Schizosaccharomyces pombe: one gene and its partners. Changing the gene in region 3 together with the main gene of any one other region gives a genetic interaction. Each region holds a gene or a part of one and is shown on either strand. Other genes may lie near its edges. The genes, in order: toc1, usp102 and rud3.

Region 1 (6,740 bases), 1.7 Mb from region 3:
TGCCGATCAATTTCCTCTAACCTACGAGCAAAGTCATCGTCCAGCAGTGATGAAGTCGTAGAAAGCGCAGCCTCACTATTAATGCTGTTGTTTCGCAAGTTAGCGGCCGCCCTAGTATTATAAACTGGTGAAACCGGTTGTGTTACACAGGAGATAGCACTTTTGGGTGAGTGCCTACCTTCATTCAAACACGCATTAGGAGTAGTGTCTGAAACGTCTTGGTTGCCTTCATCAGCATCTAAAATAGTGGATTGACGAGATAAAGGTTCGGCACTTTTGTTTTCATTATGAGTTATATTTTTCTGTGCATTTATGTGTTCTAATGCTTGTTTATTGGTATCAAGTTCACTTTCCTCTTCTAGAATGTTGTAAGCAAGCTGACACTTTGCAATCGGAATTAAAACTTACCAGAATCTGAGGAAGAGGCTATTAATTGCTTGGCATAGTTTAATGGAGGCTTTTTAATAGGCTTTGAGAAGAATGCTAAGTCATCTTCATCTAGGTTGTCCATTTGGCGAGTTTTAGCAATTACGGTGGTTCCACAAAGCTTCTTATGGATTTAACGAGAATTTGTAGCGACACACCTTAAACTAGGTAATTTTTAGCTTAGTTTTGTTTTCACTCAAGTTTATTACAAATCGATTTTGAAAGTTATATAATAATTTTATAATTCAATTGAAAAAGTTCAATGAACATTCCTCCAACTCATCTTCGAAATGAAGTTTGTTTACTTACGCAAAACCCGATCTTGTCCACTTAGCAAACAGATTTAAGTCTATAGAATTTCATTTTTTAGGTTAAGTAATTTGAAAACTCTTTGCTTCTTGTACTGAGACATTAGGTTTGATGAATTTCAATGACATTGGCTCACCTTACGACGGCTACATTGCGTCCGTCCATTACTGCCATTCATAATTTGTTCTTCATTCGCTAAATAAATTTTATTTAGTTCAGATAAAACCAAATTGTTGTACTATTAGAGATACAATGAATAGGTTTAATCAGCCGATATTCCTATATTCAGTAGTAGACTATTCAGGTACAAGATATAATACTAAACAATAATATGTAAACAAAATCGAATATTATCAAGTTAGTCCCCGTTACTTTATATTGATCATTAGAAAAACTTTACACTATACTGTATTGGTAAGTGAGAGATAATTTTAAAAAATTGAAGAGTATCTTTTTAAGATTATATAATGAATTAAGCTATATGATCGCAATCAATAAGATTATGAAGTACGTTACACTATGCTAGATTTATGAAAGTGTTTACTACCAACACAAGCTTAGGTTTTGCAAGCACAAGAAGGGCAGTCACAGCTTAAGCAAACGGTAAGGATCACCACACTAAGAGTTCCGCCTTTACCAAGTCAAAATGCCTGCTCAGGGACACAGATTGTACGTTAAAGCTAAACATCTCTCTTTTCAAAGAAGCAAACATGTTATCCACCCAGGAACTTCTTTGGTAAAGATTGAGGGATGTGATTCTAAGGAAGAAGCCCAATTTTACCTAGGCAAGCGTATTTGCTTCGTCTACAAAAGCAACAAGCCCGTTCGTGGATCCAAGATTCGTGTCATTTGGGGGTAAGTTTATTTTTGTAATTAAATTCTTGCGTTTCTTTGGAGAATATGAAGAAACGTTAATGCTATATTTTCACGGTCGTTTTTTGTTGGCTAAACGAATACATTCAAAACCTTTACTAATTACGTTTTAGAACTGTTAGTCGTCCTCATGGAAATTCTGGTGTTGTTCGTGCTCGTTTCACCCATAATCTTCCTCCCAAGACCTTTGGTGCCTCTCTCCGTGTCATGCTTTATCCCTCCAATGTTTAAATAAAATATTTTTATGTTCACAACAATTCTTCTGCTTCTTAGATTTATTTTATTTAGGGAATCCCATTTTATCGAAAGCCTCGTTTGTTATACAAAGTAATCAATGCTTTTGGTATTATTTACTCACTAGGAATTTGTAATTGGTACATTAAAACACAATTATTAATTTAAGTTTAATCAATATTGATGTTAAATAACAAAAGCTGTAAATTTGTATAGGTAACTTTTGAGAATCGTTTCACGAAGTATCATTTCAGTCGTCTGTTCTTAGGGTGTTGATGGGCAACACTGCATCAATTACTTAGGTATTGTAAATTCACTAGTTTGGCGTCTAACCTTTAGTACTGAATACTACCTTGTTTATGCAGGTAGTTCGATCGAATACTGTCGAGCATGTTTATAATCGGCTGTCGATCATACAAATCAAAAGCAAATCAATTATTAACCCCAACTATAATTATTTAAAAATAGTATAAAATAATAGCAAAATTATTATCAACGAAACAAAATCATCAAGCATTCTTTGTGAGAAAAAAAGGAGCGCAAGAAATAGTCCTAAATTGTAAAGATAAAACACATAGACGCTATTCAATTTAAACTCTTCCAACCTTGAGCCAAAAACGACTGTTTATAAGGTCTAAAAGCTTTTGAATTGTCAAGATCATCACTTAATACATAGCCCATACTTCGGGCTTGGATACTTCGACTATGTTCGTCTGCCTTTTTCAACATTTGGATCCATCTATTTTTCCGATCGACAAACGAAGAGGGTGAGGCTTCAAAGGAGGATTCTGAGCTAAGACTTGACGAAGGAGAATGATTTGTGAATATAGGAGAAGAATCAATATTTAATGGTAAACTTCCTGAGTGAATTTCCATAGCATCCACTTTGCTAGTAAAATCTTCATTTTCCTCGTCGCTCGGAATCGTGGTTGACATTTCAAGTGAATCGCCCGATTTGTTATTATTTATGTTGTTTGTGTCAAAATCGAATTCAAGTTCTTCATCAGATCTGAAAGTTAAAGTAGATAGATTTTCTATATCGTTTAACGAATCCGAAGACGCTTCATAGTCTGGGTTGTCAAGTTTGAACTGTTTGGAATACTGCATTGGCTGGTTAAAATACTTGCCGGGCTTGTCCGAAAAGGCAACTTGATATTCATCAGTAAAAGCAACATGCTTTTTTGGCTTCGATTTTCGACGTTGAGTAGACCGACTTTCGTCGATCATGGCATGGTCAGCATCAATGGCATCACTCGACTCCTTTGGTGATGCGATATTGCTATCATATATGGTTTTCACTTCCTTCTCTAGTGATTTCTCAATTGTCGAAGCATCTTCTAACAATTTAGTTTCGTAGGCTTCATAGTTGAGTTGCTGATTACGCATAAACGCAAGTAGTGATAAACGATTTGTTGATCTCTTTGACAACAAAAGTTCTTCGACTGTACGCTTAATTTCCTTGTTTACTAGTGAAGAAAATGAAGCCCGTATTTCATCTTCCCGAGGTTCAGCTCGCGCTTTAATTATGTCCATTCGAATGCCCAATTCTGAAATAGGAAAAGATGCTCTTACAGAAGAAAGAGAAATAGCTGAATCGTATATGTAAACTTTCACGTTTTCTTCTTGAAATAATTTCTGCGGTTCCTCGGATATTTCAATATTTCCCTGCACAGCAAGAATACATAAGTTGCAGCCTCGACAAGCAACAGCTGAACAATTTTCAGCTTTGCATATTTGCAATAAACTATAAATTTTCTATTGAATTAGTTATATTTGATTTCATTAAGGTTAGCGTACAATTTTTATGAGATCACGAGGAACAAATATCCATTGATGTTTGGTTTCATTAGGAATTCCTAAAACACGTATATTGAGACATTCACAACTTATTCCATCGCCAAATGGCGATTGCAATTGCATTAAATCTACTATGAAGATTTCGTCAACGCTCGAATCGCGTTGCTCAGTGAGATCGGCGTTGGCAAGAATTAGGTACGCCGTTGTCGATGTAATATAATTGATACAGTATTGTGCTATACTACATGCTTAATAACGCCGAAAAATCTAATTCTTGATAATTTATTTATAAATTTTATTAAATTCATATTATAATTTTTTCTTCATGAGAGAAGTCAAAGCCTTCACATACATAGGAACCTTTTCTAACTGACAGGTATTCATAGGCTTTGTGTGCTGTTTAATAAGTTCAATTTCAGTAGAAAATTTTCTCTTTAATTTTTCATTCTGTGTCATTACAACTAAGGTGGATTCAAGGTCCAACTGTTGAGACCTACTCGTATAATTGGAAGACCCAATCGTCGTTAAAAAAGGATGCTTGTGATGTTGTGTACTCAACCAAAATCCTAAAATAGTGTTAGTGAATTTTTCAAAGATATATGACTTAAGTGCCGTGCTCCAAAAAATATTTATAATGGAAAACGACAGACTGTAGTGTTTACCTTTAGCATGATATGTATTCCCCTTATTTTGCCATTGTAAGACATCAATATTTCTTTTCTTCTTTCTTGAATCTTTAAGAAATTGTTCAGCAATATACTGATACGCTGGTGGAATTAATTTCGATGGTCCAGGAGATCGATAAAATCCATTAGCCTGTTGAGAAGCCACGATTACTTCCCCTATACCTTCAGATTTCAACAACTGTTTTCTAAGTGCTGGATAAACATTAAAATAGCCAGCCGTTAAGGTCCAATTAACCTCCTTGCGCGATAGCAAGGTCCCGATTATAGACAAGACCTTTTCTTCAGTAGAATGTACGTCAGAAGTAAGGATAGGTACACATTGAAAAAGTGGGTATACGATAGCAGATTCTTCATATTTATGAAATGGCTTATTGTTGTCATCACCTGCTTGATTAATTAATTCAGAGCCATATACTGATGATAACGGTTTAGAAGGGTTGCGAGACAAGAATTTCTCTCGATTCCCCTGAAGAAGTTGTTGAATTTTAGCAGAAGCTGCTACCCGAAACTCTTGAGGATTTGTTAAAGGATTTGGACATGAATTGTTCCATTTCAAAGTAAAAGGAATAACCGGGGACGTAGAAGATAGTTGAATTGAGGAATCGGATAAATGAGGGATACACTCAAAAGAAAGCTGTGAAAACAAAAAATGCGTTTTAAAGAAAAAGTCCGCTAAACCCTTATCACTAAACAAATAATACCGGTCTTTTCGATTTGTAAAGTAATCTCTCGAAAGATTGGCTCTATTCGTTAGTATAGTAAATAATCATTTGCCTTTACCCGCTGATAATGAGGTTATCATCTGCACCATATATTTTCATATGCTGCAATCCCCATCCCTCATTAAATCTGTGTGGAACCAATTGCTTTCTTAGTCCACGCAAATTCGGTGTATGGTAAAGCTTGATTTCGCATCTATCAGGAAACTTCTTTTTCAATTGCATTAATAGAGATGCAGAGCAACAACCAGGGCTTTCCCTAGTACACCGCAATTGATCTGCCAGAATGTGAACATGCAAAGAGGGATTGTTGCTTAGCGCATTTGATAGACAATTGATCAATTCTCGCTCTTCTTTTCCAATGTATAGCGTTGATAGAAATATTCTTTTTTGAGCTTTTTTGATTAATTTTTTCAAGCGTTGATAAAACTCAGGAGGTTCATGAATGATATCAATATCATCAACGTTAACATAGAATTTGGGACACACACCGTCAATCTGAGATTCCAAGTTGACAAATATGTTTTTCTCTATTCCTTCATCCATTAGGCTGTTTAAATTGGTGTGCTAGGTTAGTGTGAGATACATTGAGCTTGCAAACCCGTTCATGCAGTAGAAAGGTCAATATCCAACGGTAATTTGAACGTGAAATATAGAGAAAAATGGTATAAAAGCAGAACTTCCATGTTATATTAAAAATAAAAAGTATCAAATTGACTCTAACTTACTTAACAAAAAATAATATACCGATCACGAAATATACACATTTAAAGTAATTTATAGCAAAATTTTTTCTATTTAATTAAAAGAGTAATGAAAATTAAATGATTAATTAGTTCAAAATTTATTTAAGTCCATAAAGATAAATTTCGTTTGTCCTGAATGAGCATATCCAAACCCGCTTCTTATCTTGTTCTGCAAGGGTGACAAGTTTCTTTTGCAGTCTCTGCATATATTCCCTTTGAGAAGCTGGGCAACTTTCTATTAAACGTTTCCAAGACTCCTCATCAAGCGTAGTGGTACTACGAAGTTTTTCCATAGCTTCTGAGTCGCAATCCACTGCTAAAGCAATAGCATCTTCTGAGCTTTCACGAATGGCTGACTGCACTAGATCATAAACTTTATTCATAGCATTTTGTTTGTGTTTCCATTTATACTTTCTATCATTAACGTCTTTAAGCGAGATCAACTGTACGTCGAGGTTGGATTGAGAGGTGTCAACGAACTTTGCAACATCTTGTTGAGCTGAGTCTAATATACGTTTCGACTGTAACATGCTTTCGTTTCTTTTTCTTTCATTAATTTCTCCCAGCAACCACATCCCAACTTCATCAAAGCGTATTTCGTCATCTTCATTTTTTAAAATATTTCGAGCCTTGACTGAATGTTCCATCTGGGTATTTTTCTGACGCACGACGAGAACCCAATTAATGCCTTCACTTCGATAGTGTGTTACAATCTCTTCTAAACTGCTAGCACCCCTTAAAACTATATCCGCTTGGATATTTAAAGCCCAAAGCTCTTGCAAAAGTGAGCATTTTTCTAGGATTGAATCCTTGCCAATACTAGTAACTAAGACATCAACTCTCCTTGGTGCCCAAGGGCCTACAGACTTTAAAGTTGGTGAAGGAGAATGCTTGCTTGACTGCTTACTATTGTGAAATCGAATATATCGCAGCATTGAAAATACTAGTTT
Region 2 (6,740 bases), 2.7 Mb from region 3:
GTAACAGACTTACTAATATAATGAAAATTCAACTACAAATCACTGTATAAACATGACTCACTTCAACATTTACAAATATTTATTAACATTGGAAATACTTAGCTACTAAGCAACGAATCAACAAAAACTTAATTAGGTATAAAAAATATTATTTCCTATAATGAACACAAAAACACAAAAATGGACAAAGAATGCACATGTATCTAATATTATATGCAAACGAACATAATCTCAAAAAACTAGATTTAAGATGCACAGTAACTTAACAAATTATCAATCCAAACTTAGCTAATAATATAATATATAGACCCAACGAATCGGAACAACAAATTTTGGATCTAGCTGCCTCACACAATTCATAAATCATACAAAGACGTTTAGCTATTGCCTTATGCGTAATCTTCCTCATGGGAAGAGTATTGTGGAGATGAGTCAGTGTTTGAAGCACGCTCAACATACTCAACAGACTCACCACGGGCACCGCCCTTTCTGGATTTCTCTTTCTCAACTTTCTTTTGCTCAGAATAGTTAAGCTTAAAGTTACCAGATTCCCAGGGCTTGATGACAGACATATACAACTCATTAATTTCTTCCAAAGTAAGACCTTTAGTCTCTTTAGCAAACAAGAAAATAACAATTGCACCGGTCAAATTACAAGAAGCAAAAACGTAACCGTACTTGAATCCAATAGAAGCTTGAATGAATGGAGTAAAGAATGAAATTAGGAAATTCCAGAGCCAGTTGCTAGCAGTAGCGACGGCAGCACACTTAGAGCGGTAACGAACAGGGTATGACTCACCAACAATAACGTATGCGGCAGGAGCCCAAGTTTGAGCAAATCCAAAAATGAAAAGACATGCCATGACAATCATAACGGCACCAGCACGGGTATTTGAAGTACCGTTCTTATGATATAAAGCACGAGAACCGACAGCTGAATAAATGAAAAAGCAAATTGACTGCCAAATACCACCAATGATAAGAGGGTTACGACGACCAAACCTTTCCAATACATACATACCACCAAAAGTGCAGCCAAAATTAACTGCATCAAGAATCATAGCAGATAGGTAAGGAGAATTAATACCAGCTCCTTGCATAACTGAGAAACCATAGTAGAAGAAATAGTTGTTACCGGTCAATTGTTGAAGCGACATAACAAACATACCAAGGAAAGTACGATAACGAATGTCTTTACCGAAAATGCTTGCCCAGCTGCAAGGGCCACCAGCAAATTCTTCGTCAATAGATGATTTGAGACGGTGATATTCATTTTGAACTTCCTCACTATCAGGAAAAAGCTCAGCACTTTCAGAAAGAACTCTAACAGCCTCTTCATCCTTGCCAACTTGAATAAGATAACGAGGGGATTCGGGAAGGAAGAGAATTCCAATCATGGTAATGATACCCCAAAGGAGATTAATACCAATTGAAACACGCCACTGGGCAGTTTTATGAAGTTTGTGAGTACCCATATTGATACAAGCGGCAATGAAAATTCCACCAGTGACAAACAACTGATAAGTGACGACGACGGTACCACGAATACTGGGAGGAGCAGTCTCTGATTGATATCCAGGAGCCAAGACAGAAAGAGCGCCAATACCAATACCAGTCCAAATCTTGGCAACCATGATTTGTACCCAAGAGGGAACAGCGGTAACTTGAACGATGATACCAATGATATAAACAGCACAAAAACCAATGATAGAAAGTCTCTTACCAAAACGATCGGCAATGGGAGAAGAAATGATACATCCAAACAAGGAACCAACGTTAACCATACCAGTTAAAAGACCTTGACGAGCCGAAGACAAAGAATACTGGTCGGTGATCGGGTCATATCTATCAGCATAACGCTCACGAAAATCGCGCATACTAGTAACACCACCAATGGAACCGGTATCAGCACCAAACATCCAACCGGCCATGGAGACGAAAATTAACATAACAAGGGTAAAATTCTTTCCACGCTTGAACCCCATTTTGATAAAGTATAAAGGAATCTAATAAAGATGAAAAAAAACAAAAATTCTATAGAAAGGATGTAAGTGGAAAATAAAAGATTGAATAAAATTAACCACACGTCTATTTCAGTTGCAACACGTTAAGCAGAAATGATAGAACAAAGAACAGACAGTTTATGAGTTAGAGATCTTGACAAGAGATTCTCAATAAATAAAAATTAAAAGAAAAATTAATCTAGATTATGATTTTCAAGCACAGAGAGCTTGTATTTTCAAAATCGGTATAAAGAAAGGGTAACCAAGGAAAGCACAATGCTTTTATTGAGCTTTCTTTGGATTTCGTTCTTGTTTAACCAAAAAAAGAAAGGATTTTTAGGTAAATGAAGACTAAAGTTGCTCTTGCACTTAAAAAGCAAGAATAGGTCTAGGTAAAGATTTTAACAGTCAAGAGGGCAGCTTTTATACTAAATTCGGGAAGAGAAACCCCGACAAAAGTATCAAAAGTCCTTTGCTTTCAGTGAAATTTTAGACAGGATCGCCGGAGAGTTTTTGGTTATACGTCACAATATTACAAGGGCAACAAGGTAGTTAGCAAACTCTTGTATCATTGGACGCCGACTTAAAAAAACGCAGTCACACACAAATAAGAACGAATAAGATGTGGAATAGAATTTAAACGACGTGTATGACGAGGATCAACAGCTCGTTGAAAGTCAAGAACGAGGTAAAAATGTCACGATATCATTAATTCTCCATAGCAAAAAAAAAAATTCAATCGTAAAATGATACACTGTACGTAATGAAACTGATGCATATACTGGGGAAAGACACTATTAGTGAGGTAGAAAGCCGATAACAGGATGAAAAAACGACTTTCAATAAATGTGATGTAGGAATAATTCTCAAAAGTAAAGTAAATTTAAATACTTTGGCGACCGAGGCTGCAAGTTCGGACTGCTAGCAAATACAGAGTGTATTCCAACGTCAATAATTTTAGCAAAGTAACCGAAAAAACCAAGTATATTTCTATACTCCTCATATCGTTAAATCAAGATTGAACACAAAAAAACGTTTCCTGAGGCAAAAGAAGTAAAGTGTCTGCAGTAAAATTAATTCGCAAGGCGAAAAAATAATACCAATGGTGGCCATACGTATTGGAACCAGCAAATATCAAAGTTTAAAACACAGCATACTCTCATCGCTGCATGACTATCTCAAAGCTGGCAATAGAACAATTAACGTTACGGAACCATAATCCTTCAAATTTCGATTGCTTGCATTCTCGAGCTCCACATATTCGAGTCCATAACGGAACTAACCTAAATGCGGAGTTCCTCTAGTATTAACTAGTAACATGAATAGAGCATAGCCGTGCTCTTTTTTTTTAAGAAAACGTCACGCAACGTGTATCTTATCTCTGTCCTATCCAAGTCAGGATAGCTAGGGGCCCCCAACCTGGAGACCATACATCGACCGCGACACCAACCATCCTAGCGAGACTCCCTAACAAGAAGGTAAATATGGATGGACAATGAACCTTTTCAAAAAAAAACAGAATTCTCAAGCGATATATTCGCTCTTGAACAGTTCGGTGTAAAAGGATACTTCTATCCCTTGATTACGTGTACGCCCATACTTCATTCGGACTATAGAAGAAATATGGAGCTGTAACCCGTACTGCAATTGTCTGTGTTAAGAAAATGTAAACGCTGCACACTAAATCATCACTAATTCATCGCTAACTAACGTAGTCCCTAAAAAGTTATGAACTTGGTAAACGACTTTTGAGGCCTTGGGACCTCCTTAAATACGCCCAACTCATTACTAACAAGGTTTGCTATGTCCGTGAAAAGCGCCTATTGTACATATATTGCTCCCATATATGTGAAGCTTTTGCCCAATCATTGTAAGACAGGGTCTTGCTATATTTCCCTACCCCGCTCCATTCTTCCCAAGTCTGAGAAAAACTGTGGAGAAGCCTACCAATTTTGCCTAAGGGGATTTTGATCCCGCCTCTGCAATCTATTGGACGATAATAGCTATAACTACATTTGATTGGATGAAAGACATGTGATGAATGCTGGATGGTTTTGTTGTTTTTAAATGACCACCGATAATTTTTTTAGTTAGTACGCATACATTGATGAAAGCTGAAAAATTATAATAGGGTGAATAAATGAAATTCTTTTTGTGTCTTTTACTCTAATATCGTCTGGCAATTTTCTATTTTCGTACTTCGATAGCGCCATACATGTCTTGTCACCCGTTTTTACGAGCTAGGCTTAGAAATATCTTGGAATTTTTTTTCAGACATGTTGATGATTGGCTGATACTTTTTCCAGTTCTGCCTCCTCCACAATTTGCATCCGCGTTTTCCAGAGACGTTGGGGCAATAACTTTGTCTAACATTAAATTGAAATTACAAGGGTAAGTATTTGAATCAAGACTAACCTTTATACGTTGAATGTCTTCGATATTGTAGAGAATGCCTTGAAAAAAAAATTTTATTTGTGTTAATACAATCTAATATTGTGGAATAAAAAATGGTTTGTGACTGCTCTTCTGTTCTCGGCTGTTGTATTTCTTAATAGGACGGCTCGTAAAATTCGTTATTTGCGCGTCCAGTACACCATCGATTCCCATATTATCCACAGTTTACAAATAACAATATTTATATCATTTTCTTTACTTTGGGTAAACGCTCTCTTTCAGTAACTAAATCAATTGTTGTTTATAAAATTTTTATTCTTTTGTTTGCGCGTTCAAAATTTGTCTGCACGGTAAATCATTAACGCATAAACTCGGTTCTTTTACCTAGGTATCTCGTAAATTATATAAGGATTTGTACCATATTGTAACAAAATACAAGGCAAACTGAATTATTGTACAGATTATCGTATTCACTATTCAAGCATTCGTAACTTTTTCTGCAACTGAAAACAAGATTAATGAGCAACAACATGGTCAAACATAGCGATGCGTTATCGTGTTAAAACTACGTCCATTTATTGAAGTTCTTCCTTTCGCGATCTTTAACTTGGATAAGGAGTGTTTCTCTCCATTTGATATTTGGTACATTAGAGTACTGTATTTTGAAAACAAGCGCTTTTAGAATACATCCAACGAAATATTAATGCTGGCTATAATTTACATTTTGAAATTGAATGTAAAGTCAACCATTACGAGCCATATTTACTAAAACAAGGTGGTACCTGAAAGACTACTTCTTTTGGTAATTAGCTGGAATTTAATGCCATAAGCTGGATTGTCTTCCAATTTTTAAATACTCGTGTTTTTTGATTCATCATAACATTAGTGCCGAAATTCACTGTGAATATCTTTTTATATTTAACATCCAATGGATCCTCAAACAAATTCGCATCAAGAGGTTCAACAACCATCTCCTAAAGAGACAGACTCTCAAACACCGTCAGAGACTCTCTACATACGCAACATTGAAGAAAAAATTCGTCTTACTAGTATGCCACTAATTTAAATTGTTTTAATTTAATTTAATTTCTAACAATCGTAGTGTTGAAACGAATTTTAGAACATCTCTTTGGGTCTTATGGTAAAGTCATAGATGTTCAAGCAAGAAAGACTTTGCGAATGCGCGGTCAAGCATTTGTAGTATTCGACAACTTGGAGAACGCGTCACGAGCGTTAAAGGATTTACAAGGATACCCTTTGTATGGAAAGCCCATGATGATACAGTACAGTAAATCTAAAAGCGATATTATCGTACAAAGAGAATCTCCTGAAGAAATAGAAACTAGGAAAAAAGATAGGAAAAATAGGAGAGGTATAATCTTTTTTATTCTAAAATCAAAGACCTCACTTTACTAACCTTATATTATAGAAATGCTTAAACGGACTAGCGCTCTTCAACCCGCAGCTCCCAAACCCACTCATAAAAAGCCGGTTCCTAAACGTAATGTTGGAGCTGAGCGTAAATCGACAATTAATGAAGATTTGTTGCCTCCTAATAAGGTACTTCTGTTACAAAATATCCCTCAAGAAGTAAACGCAGACGTCCTTACACAAATTTTCGAAGCGTTTTCTGGATTTCAAGAAGTACGTATGGTTCCCGGTAGAAGAGGAATTGCATTTGTTGAATACGATTCTGATAGAGAAGCAACGGTCGCAAAAAATGGGACAACAGGTATGTCCCTCAGTGGAAATCAAATAAAGGTAACATTCGCTCGGAAGGCCTCGTAGTTGATTCTGCAACTATTTTAATTCCCTCTTTCAAATTTTTGTTGCAATAATCATCCAAAAGTCACCTTTCGAAATATATAAAGCTCCTATCATTTTCATAATTGATCATTTGTGTATATAAATTATATAATGCAATTTTGCAGGCCCAAAATTATGTATATCAAGCATGTAATTATGTTAAGCTTTCAGTACCTTGAACCCGCTATATTTTCCAGACGATCCTTTCATTAATTCGATATTTCCTTTTTTCATTAGTAGCTCAAGAACTTTATGGAGGAGTACTTCGTCTAAACAATCTACCTCTTTATATTGTTCTTGAAGTTCGTAAAATGTACATATAGACCCTTCTCGTCCCATATCGGATAGCTGTAAAACAATTAGTACTTTCGACTATGCAGAAAATGGCTTACCCATTTCAAGATCATATTCCCCCATTCAGATATAGACCTCCAGTATACCCAAAACACGTCTTTAGGATTTCGCTTTTCAGTCCATTCTGCTAGGTTTTGTTTCACCATATCCTCTACTATTTCTCGAAACACCGAAAGAGGCAGC
Region 3 (6,740 bases):
ACTATACCAAATCGAATCTGAACACTTCTTTTCGCATATATTAATCTTTTGAAATCTGCATATAATAGTTCGTATTCTGAGTGTTGTATAAGCTTGAAACACCTCTTAAACCGCAGTTTATAGTTTCTACAGTGTTTAAAAGCAGCATGATTATATCATGTAAAGTAGTGAACATTCCTTTTTTGAAACAAATAGCTGGATGGCTGTTTCCAGTTTTATCTAACTTAAATATCTAAAGAAATACGGAATAATCAGAGGAACAAAAACTTTATATTTTTTTTGAACTAAAAGAGAATATAAAATGCTAAAAAGACTTTAAATAATTCTTCATAAGGACCAAACAAAAGATAGATTGACTGTGACAGTAAGACCTTTTAACGATCGAAACCGTGACGAATTAATTCATCGTATAAAATGGGATTTAAATTTTTAGAAAAATAAAAAATGTGGGATTAACGGGCAAACTTAGAGTAATCTTTTGCAAGGACTTCGAGTGCTTGCATAGCTGCCCTAGAGCCCGCGTCTTTTTGATTTGCACCCCACGCACGGGCTACTTCTTTGCCATTAAATATGCAGGCAATAACATAACCCTCAGCGGAACCACCAGCACCATCGACCCAGCGATATTCGATGTGGCCCAAAGTGCTGTACTTGTGAAAAAGTTTTGATTTAGCCAGCTTATCGATAGGACGTTGAACAGTGATATTGGCAATCTTTGGTTGGAGAAGTCGGCTAACCCATTGAAAAGCTGTCTCTTCTTGTCCATCCAATATCAATGCACCGAGATATGCTTCGAAAGTGTCAGCAATGACCTTTTGAGATTTTCGAAGTTGGTCTTTTTCGGCAGAATAACTGAGGACAAGTGTTTTATCAAACCCATAGAGCCTTGCAAATTTATCAGCACTTTCGTTGCCAACAAATTTTGCCCGGAGTTTGGAAAGACTTCCTTCATCCATTTGAGGGAACTTGCTGAATATAATACGCGTAGTAAACAAATTAAAAAAGCTGTCACCAAGAAATTCTAGCCTTTCATTATGGATATCCAACAATTCATTCGGATTCGACTGATTTGGATAAATTTCATAAGCTCTAGAAATATGCATAAAAACTTGTTCCTTTAGTTTCTCAGACCGTAAAGGTGGTAATGGCGGGGGATACTCTCCTTCTTCAAACTCCTCAGATGTTGGTTCATTATTTTCTTGATTTTTTTGATTTTTTGGGTGAGAGGAGGGTTCTTCAATGACAGGTTCGTTTTGGCGATCATGCCTTGACTTCAACATTTCGTAGACTCCTTCAATATGGCTCCAAGTAGAACCAGGGATAACCAAATTCACATCATCCTTTGTTGAATGCTTTGTTTCTTCTAGCAAGGCTTTCATAGCAAACATGAGTTTACGAATTTTTTTTTCCAAAATATAATACTGCCGATTTTTTATGTGGCTACTTCGCTTGTGACCAAGAGACCTTCTTCCTCTTGATAAAGAGTCGGAAGCGGATGAGGAGGAATCTGAGTCCCCTTCATGATGCCTCTTAAACCGTCCCATAGGAAAATGGTAGAAATATAAAGTAGATTGTGAGAAGGAAAACGGTGCTAAAAGAGACAGAAGTATCCAAGAATGCTGTATTGGGATCTACTTAAAAAATCGGTGTCAAAAATGGCCGAGAATTAAGTACGGAACAGAGTTCCGGTAAAAATATCGTCAGTAGAAGAAATGTGCAGTACCAGGATACTGTTCTAAGGGCCACAACGAAAAAGTTATTTACCCAAAATTACTTTACTTTGTGTTTTCTTTAGAAATATACCACAAACAGTAAAGAACAATCAAGAAGTAAAAAATGATCAGCACGAAAAGCTCCGTGTAATATACAAATGCAAAAAATCTTGTAACAAAACAATCAACCAAAAACAGCTCTCCAATGTGAAGAACACCTACCCAGCTAAGAAAAAAATGCAAAAAAAATGTTCTTCGAATAGCTGAATATAAAAAAATAAATATTTTTTACAGTGAAAAAAGTCTTTTTCAATGTTATAATCTTCAAATCTACCAATTAATGATATCTGAAGCAAATCGAAAATGCAGCGTAAAATCGAAATGTGATTAAAAACCGTATGTTGACCAAACCAAGGACCAGCAATCCTCCTTATTTGAAAGAAAGCTCTATCACCGTAGATGCAAGACAACGCTACTTACTTTGCAAAAACCCGAATGAAAAATAAACAATCTGAAATGCAAGTTCGTAGGAACTACCAAACCGTCAATATGAATAAGAAAACAACTCTTTTCTTTAAAAAGAATATGCAGACTCGTTCAACCTCATATGTGTGGGAGTTTGTTTATGTTGGGCAGTGAGGGACGAGAAAGGAGAAGGAAGAAAGAAACACTCTTTTTCCAACTTAGCGGTTTATTTCACCACGTTCGTTGGTTAACATGAGCAGAGAAAGAATAGGGGCGTACCGCAGCACAACGGTCAACAAAGTATGTTAATGTCAGCAATACTACACTACGCTATGATACACTACGTTGCGTATCACTATATGTCATATGTTGGAATACTAGCTAAGATCCGTTTATTGATAATCACGGGTAACTATCCGTCTATATACATAGATACCCGTTAATAACAACTATTTAGAAATATTATAAATAGCGTTACAACTGAACCTCGTTCCTCAGTTCAGTTATGAGCTATATTAGTGATAGGTAACATTATAACCCAGTTAATACAATACCTATACTCAGTTGCTACTTATACAACCTGTGTATTGTAATATAAATAGACCATAAGGAAAACTCACCGCAGTTCTACGTATCCTTAAATCAGATACCAAACTGCGTAGCTTACAGTTAAAGTTGAATACGTTGCTACTGTTTATTGTAGTAACAAATTTTAAAGCAAAAGGTTTAGTATTTCGTAAACCAAGTTAAAGGAATATTATCGAGGTTTATGGAAATGTTTACGAAAAGATGGATGTTTTAGGGCCACTCTAGAGCTCACTAATTCAATTTCCCATAATTTCTGGAATGGCAGAAAATGCAGGAAATGAAACAAAATTGGTGGAAAATGAGAATTTACAAGAGGATTTAAGTCGTTTGAACTTAGAAGATGAAAAAAATGAGCTCAAATTGAATGAAAAAGGCGGAGTTTTGAAAGAAAACGATGAACATTTAGAATGTTCAGAATCTTTCAAGAAATTGGCGGAGAAGGAGGAAGCTTATCAAACATTAAAGAATTCTTATAACTCATTGAAGCAGCAACACTCTAATTTACTCGGGAAGGTCTCGGGAATTAAGTCAACGTTGGGAGAAAGGCTTAAGAAGGATTCTCAAGAGTTAGCTCAAAATCGAAAACGAATTCAAGAGCTCGAAAAGTCTTTGGGCGATGCAGAGGAAGCACTTAAGTTGAGCAATGAAGAAACCGTAACCTTGACCGCACAAGTAGAAAGCTTAACGCAAGATATAACAGATTTGAGACAGCAAAATGCTTCGCTTGTTGAAGAAAATCAATTGTTATCGACTCAATCAAAACAATGGGAAAGAAGAGCCAGAGATGAACATGAGATGCAAGAATCATTGGCCGTTCGATTGGCAGATTGTGAAGAGCAGCTAGCTAGAGAAACTGAAAGACAAGAGCAGTATGAAGTTGAAATTCAACGTCATTTGACAAATCAGCATCAACTAGAAATTGAATTAGAATCCACCAAAGCTTCCCATACTGAAAACCTCGGTGAACTTACCAGAAATTGGCAGAAGGCCATGGACGACGTGACTGAGAAATTCGCTTCTAAATCAAAAGAGTACGAAGATTTGCAAAATGAGTTAGATGCTACACAGAAAAGGCTTTCAAGGGTCTCTGATTTGGAGCACGAGGTGAAAGAAAAAACCCTACTTATTGGTAAACTGCAGCACGAGGCCGTTGTTTTGAATGAACATCTTACAAAGGCTCTCTGCATGCTTAAAGATGGAAATAATGCAGAAAAAATTGACAAACAACTTATTTCTAATTTGTTTGTCTCCTTTTTGACGCTTCCTCGCGCTGACACTAAACGTTTCGAAATATTGCAATTAATTTCTTCCGTGTTAGATTGGAACGATACGCAAAGGGAACAAACGGGACTTCAACGTCCTGGTTCCTCTGTAAATAATTGGAGTATTCCTCACAGTGCGTCCTCTAACTCTCTATTCTCCGATCATTCCTTTTCCAAAAGACGTTCTTTCCATGACTCATAATTTTCTTCCACACTAACCGATAATTTTACGTTTCAATTGAGCAATGGTATGAAAGATTTTTCTTTTTTCTGTAAATAATAATATCTTTCGCTCTTTTTATGTATCGCTTTTTTTTTTCTTACTTCACAACTTAATTAGGGGTTACCTTTTGCCGCGCGTACAAGGTTTTAGTATTTTTTTACTCTCTTTTCACACATTTTGAAGGTTGACTATATCATTCTTGAAGTAATAGTTTCATACGTTCATTTTGATATTTTGCCTTCTCCTGCTATGCCTAGCTTTATGGCAAAAGCGCTTGTTGCAATTTCATCTATTAGTCAATATTCTTAATTTTCAAAATTGTTTGTTAATATCAGTTTTTTCGAAGAATTTTAAAAATATCATTTTATTTTAATCACTCAGGTCATAGTTATGGTCTGTATTACTAGTATGCAAAAGCAACATAGCTATATGCAAAGTAACTAATCATTATGAAGACATTATTATGAAAATTTATTTTTCGGCTCATTAGAATCCTTCTTTATCTGTGTAAAAACACCATCACGAAACCATTTGTTGGCCTCTTCTACTTTTTGTTGTCGTTGAAGTAAGGGGTTCACTAGTTCAATGCCTTGAATAGGTGTGAAGGATAATGAACTTTGTAAACCGCTTGCAGCAAGGGGATTCTTCTGTGCCATTGATTGTAGTTGGGCCTTCCGCGCTTTTGGTAACCGTAATTTAGTTCGAGAATCAATTGACACTGCACGAATTTTTCCTTCACCTTCTTGACCAAGCATACCAAGACCTTCCGTTTCGTCAAAATTAAAGACTTCCGCCTCCTCCTTACCAAAGGCGACGCGATTCTGTAATCTCCGCAATTCCGTTACGGCATATTGCTCTTTCATCTTGCGAATTCTTCTTCCTCCACGACGACGTTTTGGCCTATCGTCAGGAACGGGTAGCGCAACAGTTGGTTTCTGTGATGGAGGTTCCAAAAGCTTTTCAATTTTCCGTTCAACTTCCTTTCGAGCAGATATGCCAAATGAGCCATCAGGATATTCATGAATGGAATCGATTCTTGCTGCTAAAGCAACTTTAGCAGCAGTCATTCGGATAGCTTGCTTTCGTACATCAGGAGGGGTCTTTTGAACAATTTCCGACATATACAAAAATCCATAATCCCCACTAACAGCCGGATTGTTAATACCAATTGTTGTCAGCCTCCTTTTTCCGAGCGCTGGTAAATTGCAAGCAGGAAACTTTCCAAGTCTAGTCAATCCTCCTGCAATGCCGATTAAATTGGCAGCTGTGGTAGAACCCACGACTGCAGACAAATTAGGAGCTACGACACTAATTCTTGATTGGACATATTCAATAATTTTTTGCTTTTCTTCACCCAATTGCTGAATTGCCTCACAGCAATTTTTAACGTTTTTTATCATTTCATCTGGAAGAGGCTTTCCCACTGTTGTCGTTGCTGTTGTAGCAATAACCATCACTGTAGCAGAAGGAAGAAAGGAAAGTTTGGTTTTGCTGTTGTCTAAATCATTTAACAGAGAACTAACAGTTTTGCAATAGTCAAAGGCATTCAAGACCAAACTACTTAATTCAGGAAATCGGTCATGATACCATTCCTTCACGAGTCTGTGCAGCCGCAGGATTTCATCGTCAATTTCCATCGCAATTGAATTAGAATCCACGATAAGGTGATATTCGAGATCATCTTCGATGTTTCCAGTGATAGCTTGTTTTTCGGTGCCTTTATATTTCTCAGTTCCTTCTATGATATCGCGAAGACGTGTAGAATTCAACAGCTGATAAATGTTCTCATTATTGTCATTAAATTTATTAGCAACTTCACTAGGCAATTTTTGAGCAGAATCGCTAATTTTGGTAATATCCAAATCGTTTTCTAATTCAGCAGAAATGCCATTTCCTTCCTCTAATTGTAACTCTAACCGCCTTTTCTTCGCATCTGGCCCAAGTTCATCAGTAATTGTAGATTCTGTAGTTTCCTCAATATCATCAAGATCAGCTAATAATTCATCTGCCAGTGACATTATATTGGTTAAAATCCTTGCCTAATGAAAAACTTTTTGTCAAGCGTAGTTGCCAGAAAAAGAAAAAAAAATAACAAAGCTGGTTCTGGAAGTCTAAGATTTCACTAAAAAAAAGACTAATGAATAATTCAAAAATAGGACGTAATCAGCAAACGCCAGGATAGTAATGTACAAAATAGATGTATGTGGCTATTTAATAGAACTGCAACTTTTTATAGGCTTAATAGCACTAATCGTGCAAATTTGAAGATTAATGCAAATAAATAAGTAAAAATAAGATTCAAATTCGCTTTATTGACAAGTTCCAAGTGGAGTGTCAAACTTGAACTGGCATGGGGTATTTTGCTTAGTGCTCTACACATACTAGACAACCACGTTACTACGGTCATAGGGAATTGGGATCGAAAACTGCTTGATTCATTTCTTCAAGTTTGTTAAATTTTTTTCGTTCATTTTTTTTTTCCTTGACAAG

The links.
Region 1: mutations in rud3 (region 3) and toc1 together harm fitness less than expected from each alone (positive genetic interaction), as found in Schizosaccharomyces pombe (one large-scale study listed by BioGRID).
Region 2: mutations in rud3 (region 3) and usp102 together harm fitness more than expected from each alone (negative genetic interaction), as found in Schizosaccharomyces pombe (one large-scale study listed by BioGRID).

Annotation. Positions count from the first base shown.
Region 1 is NC_003423.3:2,400,603-2,407,342, reverse strand, and holds toc1 (Tor complex Tor2-interacting protein 1), read right to left. Parts: upstream 3,826-6,740; 5' UTR 3,763-3,825; coding exon 3,640-3,762; exon of another isoform or gene 3,598-3,639; coding exon 2,428-3,597; 3' UTR 2,011-2,427; downstream 1-2,010. Other genes in the region: DNA repair protein, SUMO-related Rad60, read right to left, coding at 1-358, 409-511; rpl35A02 (60S ribosomal protein eL33), read left to right, coding at 1,382-1,590, 1,722-1,839; pgs1 (CDP-diacylglycerol--glycerol-3-phosphate 3-phosphatidyltransferase), read right to left, coding at 3,949-4,205, 4,302-5,068, 5,106-5,590; eIF2 alpha kinase Gcn2, read right to left, coding at 5,889-6,740. UniProt on the Schizosaccharomyces pombe protein: Component of TORC1, which regulates multiple cellular processes to control cell growth in response to environmental signals. Tor2 is essential for growth. Nutrient limitation and environmental stress signals cause inactivation of TORC1.
Region 2 is NC_003423.3:3,422,817-3,429,556, reverse strand, and holds usp102 (U1 snRNP-associated protein Usp102), read left to right. Parts: upstream 1-5,077; 5' UTR 5,078-5,325; coding exon 5,326-5,446; exon of another isoform or gene 5,447-5,499; coding exon 5,500-5,769; exon of another isoform or gene 5,770-5,826; coding exon 5,827-6,185; 3' UTR 6,186-6,335; downstream 6,336-6,740. Other genes in the region: plasma membrane glucose/fructose:proton symporter Ght2, read right to left, coding at 390-1,985; ESCRT II complex subunit Vps25, read right to left, coding at 6,363-6,551, 6,596-6,740. UniProt on the Schizosaccharomyces pombe protein: Involved in nuclear mRNA splicing.
Region 3 is NC_003423.3:737,252-743,991, forward strand, and holds rud3 (golgin protein Rud3), read left to right. Parts: upstream 1-3,011; 5' UTR 3,012-3,023; coding exon 3,024-4,229; 3' UTR 4,230-4,625; downstream 4,626-6,740. Other genes in the region: double-strand-specific ribonuclease Pac1, read right to left, coding at 453-1,544; U4/U6 x U5 tri-snRNP complex subunit Prp31, read right to left, coding at 4,712-6,268.